Sus scrofa: one gene and its partner. The protein of the gene in region 2 interacts with the protein of the main gene of each other region in a pairwise test. Links are inferred from orthologs where the notes say so. Each region holds a gene or a part of one and is shown on either strand. Other genes may lie near its edges. The genes, in order: HNRNPH3 and HNRNPA1.

Evidence for each region.
Region 1: the proteins of HNRNPA1 (region 2) and HNRNPH3 interact in binary tests that used the Homo sapiens proteins (3 or more experiments, as listed by UniProt). The link is inferred for Sus scrofa from reciprocal best matches to the Homo sapiens genes HNRNPA1 and HNRNPH3.

Annotation. Positions count from the first base shown.
Region 1 is NC_010456.5:71,484,540-71,489,324, forward strand, and holds the start of HNRNPH3 (heterogeneous nuclear ribonucleoprotein H3), read left to right. Parts: upstream 1-1,755; 5' UTR 1,756-1,914; exon of another isoform or gene 1,915-2,223; intron 2,224-2,458; exon of another isoform or gene 2,459-2,782; intron 2,783-2,872; exon of another isoform or gene 2,873-3,003; intron 3,004-4,785.
Region 2 is NC_010447.5:19,483,818-19,487,976, reverse strand, and holds the start of HNRNPA1 (heterogeneous nuclear ribonucleoprotein A1), read right to left. Parts: upstream 2,801-4,159; coding exon 2,786-2,800; intron 2,241-2,785; coding exon 2,124-2,240; intron 1,831-2,123; coding exon 1,684-1,830; intron 1,554-1,683; coding exon 1,343-1,553; intron 1,252-1,342; coding exon 1,159-1,251; intron 1,074-1,158; coding exon 981-1,073; intron 872-980; coding exon 797-871; intron 523-796; coding exon of another isoform or gene 364-522; intron 1-363. UniProt on the Homo sapiens protein: Involved in the packaging of pre-mRNA into hnRNP particles, transport of poly(A) mRNA from the nucleus to the cytoplasm and modulation of splice site selection.

The DNA of each region.
Region 1 (4,785 bases), on a different chromosome or scaffold from region 2:
TATCTTTTTCTCTTTCACCTCCCCCCCAAATATTATTATTTTGGGGGAAGGGGAGGCAGTAGGATGGACTGGGAGTTTAGACATAATAGATGCAAACGATTACATTTAGAATGGATAAGCAATGAGATCCCAATGAATAGCACAGGGAACTATATCCAATCTCTTGGGATAGAACATGATGGAATATAAGAAATGTATGCATATATTTATGACTGGGTCACTTTGCTGTACAGCAGAAATTGACACATTTAAATCAGCTATAATTTTCAAAAAGAAGAGAAAAAATTTTTTTTCAGGGTTATAAAGTGTCAGTGAATTGAGCACCTAACTTGAGCAAGCTCTCAATAATTGTGAGCTACTGTTATTACATCATCCTGTTTTATTTTTCTATTTCCTGTAATGAACACACTGTCCTTTCCCCCCCTTTCTCTGAGGGTTATCTTGAGGGCGTAGGCTCAAGAAAGGCAGTTAGGGCACTATGACCTAGTCCCACACTTGTCTTAAACAGGTTTGAGGATGAATGAAAGCCAAGAAATGCAAGTTTCCACAATAAGATAGTAATTGGACTCCTGTCTCCACCCTTCACACTGCAGACCTCAGGGAAGAAAAAATTATTCAAGCTTCTCCACTGCTAATCCTCTAGGTCTCCTTCACCCCACCTCGACGCCCTTTTCAGGGTCTACAGCCCAAAGTCTTTGCACTCTGAAGTTCTACAAGCTAGTTTTGTCAACATTCCCAACCTAGGGGTACTTGTGTACACTTAAACTCATTTCCTCCTCTCCTTTGCATTTGATGTGCGTTCCTATACGTCCGCACTTTAACTTGCGCTGATCTCAGTACTAGGACCGACCTCTAATCTTCTTACAGAAATTCAGCTCGCCTTTTTTTTTTTTTTTCCCCTTCAAGAGGAGTCCCTAGGAACCTTGGCGGTATGACAGCACAACCAAAAATTATTTACTAGGTGTCATTTGTACAAGCAATTTTCAAGGATGCAAAGTACTATTTAGAAAACAACTGGAAGTCTCCCGCCGCGAGCGGCTGATGCTCACTGAGATTACAAAGTGGGAGAGATAAAGGCGAGAGGTAACGCCAAGGCGAAAGGAGGAAGCGATTTGCAAGGCAACCCACCTCCCCACTCCACCCCCAAATAAGCCCCACTGTGGGGCGGGTTGGGCGGCTGGGCTGGCAGCGCCAAGGCCGGGGGAAGGAGCTCCAGCCTGAGAACCCAAATAGGGGCCTGGTGGACATTACTGTATCTTCCCAGCCGGAAAACACTACTATTTTTACTGCATAACGCAAACATGGTGGACAAGAAAAGCCCTCCCCGCATTTGGCTGCCGAACCACGTGGCTCCCTTTCCACGCAGGTGACGCGGGGTGAGGGCGGAGCCTTACAGAATTTGCTCTCGCTGGGAAAAAGCGGACTTCTCCAAAACTCGACTCCAGGATTCTTGCAACACAAACAGGAAGGAATACTTTCGCCACTTCACATCTCCCCGCGAAAGCAGAAAGGTGGCTTTGAGAATTTGAAGGTTTTAGGGTAAGCAAGAAAAGCGGAGTTACTGACCCTCCACCTTCCCCCGACCCCAACAACCAGGCCTTCCACCAACGCGCAAGCGCACTTCTTGCCTTCCGCGCCAAGGCGGGACCGACTCTCTTGCCTCGCGAGAGCGGGGCCGGTGGGTCTTCCTCGCTCTCGCTCCACCCCCTCCTTCTCTCTCGCGCTCTCCCATCCCCCCAAGCCAGTCGCTCTGCTGCGCAGCTCCCTCAGCGGTTGCCACCGCCGGAGACGGTTGGAAGAACCGTTGTGGGAGCGCTACACGAGGCAGGCGACTTCTCCTTCTCCACGACCGGGCCCCGCAAGCAGCGGAGTCGGCGCTACTGTCGCTCGACAGGGTATCTGAAGTAAAAGGGGGTAGGTTGGGATGGTGGTTTCGAGAGTGGAGTCGGGAGAAGGACGAAAGAGAAACTGGGAGGGGGTGGGGCGGGGCGAAGTGTGGAGGTCGCCGCTCGGAGGTGGCCAGGCTGCGCCCCCCCGGGCGATCTCTCACTTCGGGGGCGGCCTGCCGGGCGGGGGGGGGACTTACTCAGGGGGGATTTAGTGGACGAAGCCGAGGCCCGAAGTGGGGCTCATCACGCATTTCCCGTCTTTTCCCTGCTGGTTTGGCTTCCGCCATTTTGGGTACGGTGGCGCGGCCACCTGGGCTTCCCGCCCTTCTCCTCTCTTTCTGCTTCTTGCCCCTTAGCTTCCGAAAACTGATTTAGGAGTCCGGGGAGGGGGGCGGTGGTTAGAGCGCCTCGGAAGGGATGTGGGTGGGGAAGGAAGCGAGCTGGGAAAGGCTGGGCACTTGGGTGGGGGGAGGCTCAGGGCCTTCGGGCGCGCTCCGGTTGGAAATGGCGCCGGATGGGCCTGGCCTCCCACCGCGGCCTCCCTTCCTCCGCAGTCTCAGCTGGGCTACCTGGGCTGGCGGGACTGCGAGTGACTTCTGACGCAGATTCCCAAGATGAGAGAGGCTGGAGCTGGGGGAGGAAAGCCAATGGCGACGAAGGCGCTCAACTCCCAAACCCGGGACAAAGGAGGCAGACGGCCTCCTTTGTAATTCCGCCGCCGGGTGGCGAAGGTTTTTAAGCCAAGCTTTGCTGCCGAACGGGAAGGGGGGGAAGGGGCGTACTCTCCCTAGCTCTCTGGTCTCTAGGGCAGCTAGATAAAACGAAAAGCCTCCGGGGAGGAATAAAGGACGCTTAGCCGGCCCTTATATTCCAGGTTTGGAGCTTCGAAAAGAGTACGTACTCATTTTCCAAAGGGTTTTTTCCACTTAAACCGTATTGGGAGACTTTATGGGTAATTGTAAGCAGAAAAGCGGGTGACTTACCGAATAGGAATGTGCAGTGGGGCTTATTTCAAGCAGGTGAACCAAGATACGACTTTCTGAACCTTTGGGCGGGGGCGGGATGGTTTAGCAATGGTTTTGTGTAGTTTGGCGAATACTGTGTTAGAATTTAAGTAGGTGGTTTACTTTTGGGAAACAGTTGTTAAAAAACAACCAGTGATGGAAAAAATGTGTGTATAGGAATTGCGTTATCGGCTTTCACCAATCTCCAAGATTTTTATTTTGTGCAAAGATTGTTTTGGCATTAAGGCTGTGGAAATAAAATACTTCAAAATACAGTTAGGGTTTATTTTCTTTCGGTAGCTAAGCGAATTTTCTATTTGGCTTAGGACTATAGTAACATTTTGGCGAAGAAAATAACCCTACTCAACAGAAAAACAAACTGCAAGCCCAGTCATGTGGTGCTGTGATTTTTTTTTTTTTTTTTTCGGTCCTTAGAACATTGGAGAACTGGGTCTGTAATTTTCACTGAAAACTGTGCAAAGTAAAGGACAGGCAAGGCATGAGACTTCCAATAATGCATATGAATCTTTACAAGTGTGTTTATTTTTTCATCTTTAAAAATGAAAAAGATCTTCATGATGTTGAAGATGTTCTGTGTTTCTATGCACTTGTAAAGACATATAGCCCAGTTTCTTATAAAGTCTTGTGTGGTGTAACAGCTTCCCTGATTGGATTACCCTAGAAACCTTTTTTCCTGCCCTTCATCTGCATCATGATTTGGAAATGCATCTAAATTGCTTTTTATATTTTAAACAACTGTGTAGTTTTGGTATTCTTACTTTGTTAAACAAGTGATTGAACTGCAGTGGGTGGTAACTTTGTTCTAGAAAAGAAATCCGTTTAGACACCTCACCTCCAAGTAGTAGTGTGTGAGTCTATTTTTATTTAAAATTGAGCAAGCACAATGAAAAGGGAATGATTTCCATTTTATTTAAGCATTTCATCACCACTTCTGACCAAAATTTTGAAGTTACCTCTCATTTTTTAATTTTCTGGCCAAACCTGTGCCACAGCTGTGACACCACAGGATCCTTCTTAACCTGCTGACCAAGGAACTTTTTTAGAAGCATGGTTTAGGGTTGTTTATTAATGTATCAAACCCTTTATGTTATAAAGGAATTTTATCTCATTTGGCTTCTAAGATGTTTTTTCTTAACAGCTTTGAGATACAGTTCACAGATCGTTAACTTCATCCATTTAAAATCATACAGTAGTGGTCTTCTGTGACTGGTTTCTTTCACTTAGCCTAATGTTTAGGAAATTACATTAAAAATTTCATACAGAACTGACAAACTGTGTATTTCAGCTGCTGGTGTTTTGATTGATGCTAACACTAGAAATTTTTAAAGCAGAATTGCTGTGACACTTGTAAAGAAAGGTTGAGAAGGATTATCCTGAATAATTGGTAAACACTTTTTTTAGGTAGTTTCTGAGACAACTTTATTAAGGTATCAGAACAGATTGGTGTTTTTTTTTTTTTTTTTTTTTTATGCCTTCAGGTTTTGTCTTGGTTTGGTTTTGTAAATAGAATTCCAGGTTCTAATTTTGAGTTTTGAAGAGTTAGTAGAGTGTGGGTTACTTTGTTGTGTACTCATTCACATGGGATGGAGAGTCATTCTGAAGTAGTTTGTCTTCCAAATCTGCTTAACCTTTCCCCAAATTAAAATTGTGTTAACAGTTTGGTGTGTTCTTTATAGACTGTATTGTTTTTATGCACTTTGGAATAGGCTGATCCAAAAATCAAAGCTAGTATAGTTTGCTTGCTAGTATTTCTTGGAAAGTGCTAAGATTTATAACTATAAGTCAGTTTCCATCTTTTTTGAATTCCTGAAGTGGTACCTTTACATTGAAAAATAAATAAATAAATGTTCTAAGTAACATAAAGCCCCCAC
Region 2 (4,159 bases):
ATTCAGTTGAATAATCCAGTAGCTAGAAATTTACCCCTGACTCACCATGGTAGAGCAAGTAGTATAGTCTCTAGCCTCGAAGGCTGTTGTTACCCATCCAGGGGCACCGCAAACACATGCTGGATACATCAACTAAGTGCCTAAATAAAAGCTAACCTAATCCCGATTAACTGTAGGCACCACTATCCCCCTTAATCTATTTGGGAGTGAGGCGGCCCCAGCTTAAAGCTAGGAGGAGGTAGCATTGCAAGCCCATTAAAAGAAAGTACCATGCAGTAAAACACATTATGCCTAGAGAGCATCAAGTTCCCATATGGCTAAGCTAGCTATTTGCACCAAGTACTTGGATCACTGGATACCTACCACTACCACCGCCAAAGCCGCCTCCGCCTCCTCCGTTGTTATAGCTGTCATAGCTGCCACTCCCGCCATAGCCACTGCCCTGGTTTCCATAACCCTGTCCACCACTTCCATAGCCTCTGCTTCCTCCAGAGTAACCAGGGCCGCCTCCTCCATAACCACCTACAAGAATACAATTCTTCTCAATAAGACACAAGTATTCAACATTCAAATTCTGTGCAAGCATGATGGCTAAAGGCCGGCTCACAACATGCTGTAAGAGTCAAACTTGAACTTATCATGCACTAAAGTTTTAGTATCTACTAGCCTATTCTAAAAGTAGTCAAACTTTTTACCTGTAGTTTCTTAAAAAACAAAAAAATCCAACAACAAAACGAACTAAAAAAACCCACACACGCACACACAAAATTTTAACAGTAAAAACAAAAAAACTTACCGTCATTACCAAATCCATTATAGCCATCCCCACTGCCACCATATCCACCACCACCACGACTGCCACCAAAGCCACCTGGAACAGAATTTAAAAGCCAGGTTTGAAGTATGTGGATCGCATACAAATCACACCCTTCTAAGCCTAAATTCTAAGAAGCGTTAAAATAATAAAAAACCATACATACCTCGACCACTAAAGTTTCCCCCACGACCAAAGTTGTCATTTCCACCAAAACCACCTCCACGACCACCACCAAAGTTTCCAGAACCACTTCGACCTGAAGAAAAAAATGTTAACGTTAAATTGTACCGGTTAAAATCATTCAAAATGATGCTTAAGGTTTAATTAAGCAACAAACTCACCTCTTTGGCTGGATGAAGCACTAGCCATCTCTTGCTTGGATAGGGCTTTCCTCACTTCACAGTTGTGGCCATTCACAGTGTGGTATTTCTGAACTGAAAAATTTGAAAGTAAGACACCATCTCAGAGTTTAGGACACAAATGGATTTCAGAACTCTTAGCGAATGCCAACCACCTGCTACTTACTGACAATCTTGTCTACGGAGTCATGGTCATCAAAAGTTACAAAAGCAAAACCTCTCTTTTTGCCACTGCCCCTGTCCGTCATGATTTCAATCACTTCGATTTTCCCATACTGTTCAAAATAATCTCTTAGGTGATGTTCTTCAGTGTCTTCTTTAATGCCACCAACAAAAATCTTTTTCACAGTTAAGTGGGCACCAGGTCTTTGAGAATCCTAAAGGGGGAGAAAATAGTAACAATCCTAAGACCATGTTAATACTAAGTCTGTTACATCCCCTTAATGTGAGTGAATCCTGCTAATCGAACATTTCCAGTCGATGAAACACAAGAAAAACATCACTTACTTCTCTTGAGACGGCCCTCTTTGGTTCCACAACTCTTCCATCCACCTTGTGCGGCCTTGCATTCATGGCTGCATCCACCTCCTCCACAGTGGCATACGTGACAAACCCGAAACCTCTGGAGCGCTTGGTGTTTGGGTCCCTCATTACCTTTAATGTTTATTTAGCACATGGTAAGACACCAGAAGTTACAGCCTTTTCTACCTTGACTAAGGCAATGGAAAACTTTCTACCAACCCTCTAAACGAAGCTCTTCAATGACCACCGCCCCCACCCCTTAAACCTAACAATTGGGAGCTTTTCAGCTATGAAGCCACACCTTCCTTTGTCAAGTAAGCTATAAAGTCAATAGGAATCTTCATAAGCATTCAAACAGCAACGACAGCGAGATAAGCCAAGAAAAACAACTAGCTCTAAGGCCTTTTGTCTCTTCCAAGTCTTACCACACAGTCTGTGAGCGTTCCCCATTGCTCAAAATGGCTCCTCAGACTCTCATCGGTTGTTTCAAAGCTCAAACCTCCGATGAAGAGCTTCCGCAGCTGTTCGGGCTCTTTGGGAGACTAGAAGTAGGGGCAAAAAAAGCGTTAAATAGGGCTATAACGCAAACAAGCTCCCCGCTACAAGAAGCAACACCAGGTAGCAACGTACGAAGCTTTTATTGTTCCCTCGGGTCGCTGTAAGCCACGTGCTTCTCCCCATCTGGGGAGGCGGTATGTTGGGGGCTGGGAAGCGGCGAGCGCATGCGCCCCTTACTCTCCCTACGACGCACGCGCAACAAAAGGACTGGGAGGGCGTGCATCGCCAAAATTGGACTACAGCTACTCTTTAAGAAAGTCGTCCACTAGGACAAGGATGAAAAACAGACCGAATGTGTCCACGAGCATTGCAAAAAAGAACGAGAGCAGCGTGATAACCAAGGATTGCACGACGACAGCCTCATGGCGACGAGGACAAAATGGCGACCTGAACTCAGGGAGGGGTAGGCCCCGGCAGCGACCGAAGAACTGCCGAAAAGGCTGGTGCAAGCAGCCAAACCAGACTGCACCCTACCAAACTCAGCAAGCGGCGAAGAAGAAAACGCAGATGAAAAAAGAGTCTCACTCACCTCTGACTTAGACATGACGGTAGTGGGGAGGAGGTTACAACGATGCTTACTCGGCGGCGTCCGGGGGCAGAAAGGAGTAATCTAACGAACGAGTCTGCCAGCCTACCTTCGGCCTCGCTTTTTTATCCCGCCTCCTCGCGTTCGGCATTGGTAGACTCCGCCCCTGAGTAGCTCTGATTGGATATTTGACATAGCTTTCCCCCACTATTGGTCTCTCGTATGCGTTGCTGTGTAACGTCATCCGTTTGGGCGTTCTACGCAGTCTCAACCCCTCCCGGTCCATTGGTTCCTAAGTAATATTATTCTTAACTAGACTGATTGGCTGGTCAACCAATGATTCATATTTGAATTATTTCGGGTATTGAGATAACTTTTTAATTAGCTATGTCCGGAATATTCAACGCCTGTGTCAAAGCATTTTTAATACTATGTATCAAAAAAGTAGCTAGCATGTGACAATTTGGCGGAACGGGGGCGGGGGCAAGATCGCCTGCTGAGCGCATGTGTAGTAAAATGGCGAGTTTACGCAGGCGCGCTAAGAAGTTCCGCCCGGAGCTTGCAACACGTGAAATGGCGGGCAGGAGACAGCGGCGAACCTAAGGCGCCTGCGTAGTGGCGGGAGTTGTGCCCCCTTTTGCGCAGGCGTAATGGGCGGGGAAAGGGTCGGGTCCCAGGATTGGTCGCGCAGGCGCAGGGAAGGATCCGTTTTGGCGGGCGGTTGGCGTTGCGCAGAAGGCGGCGGCGGCGGTGGCTTGTGGTCCGGCCGCACCACAGAGGAACAGGCGAGGCGTTAGCGTGAGTGATCGGTCTCGACCCCCGGTAAGTGGCGGACCATCTTGCCTACCCATACGAGGTCTTGAACTGACTCCAACTGGGCCCGTTATTGTGTGAAATGAATGGACCTCGGGGTGGGGGCTCGTGAAGGGGGAGCGGTGAGATCGGCCAACCAATGGAAGAACGGGGGCGGGATGTTTTATCCCCGTAGGTTCTGTGGAGCTTTGCAGCGGAAGAGTTTGACTGGCGAGTGTATAGGCCAATTGGGGCTGTCCTTAGCTGCCGACTCATCGGTCCTTGGGCCATCGGTATGTGGGAGGCGGGCTTTCTCCTCCTGAGCAGCATCTCACTGAGCCAATGAGCACGAAGCGCGCGGTAGGTTGGGCTCCTCCAAGAGGCCACGATTTGACTCCAATGGGGGATGCGGGAGTTGGGCGGTTAGGTGGATGGACCAAATCGGGAGCCAGTAGGCGAGCAGCCTCTGGAAAGCGCTCAGGCTGTTCGTCCAATCAGCGCTCCAAAAGAGGGAGGTCTTAGATTTGGGGATGCGAGGAAGGGGATTCAATGCCTGTGATGGCGCGTAGGGGCTATTTTATTCAC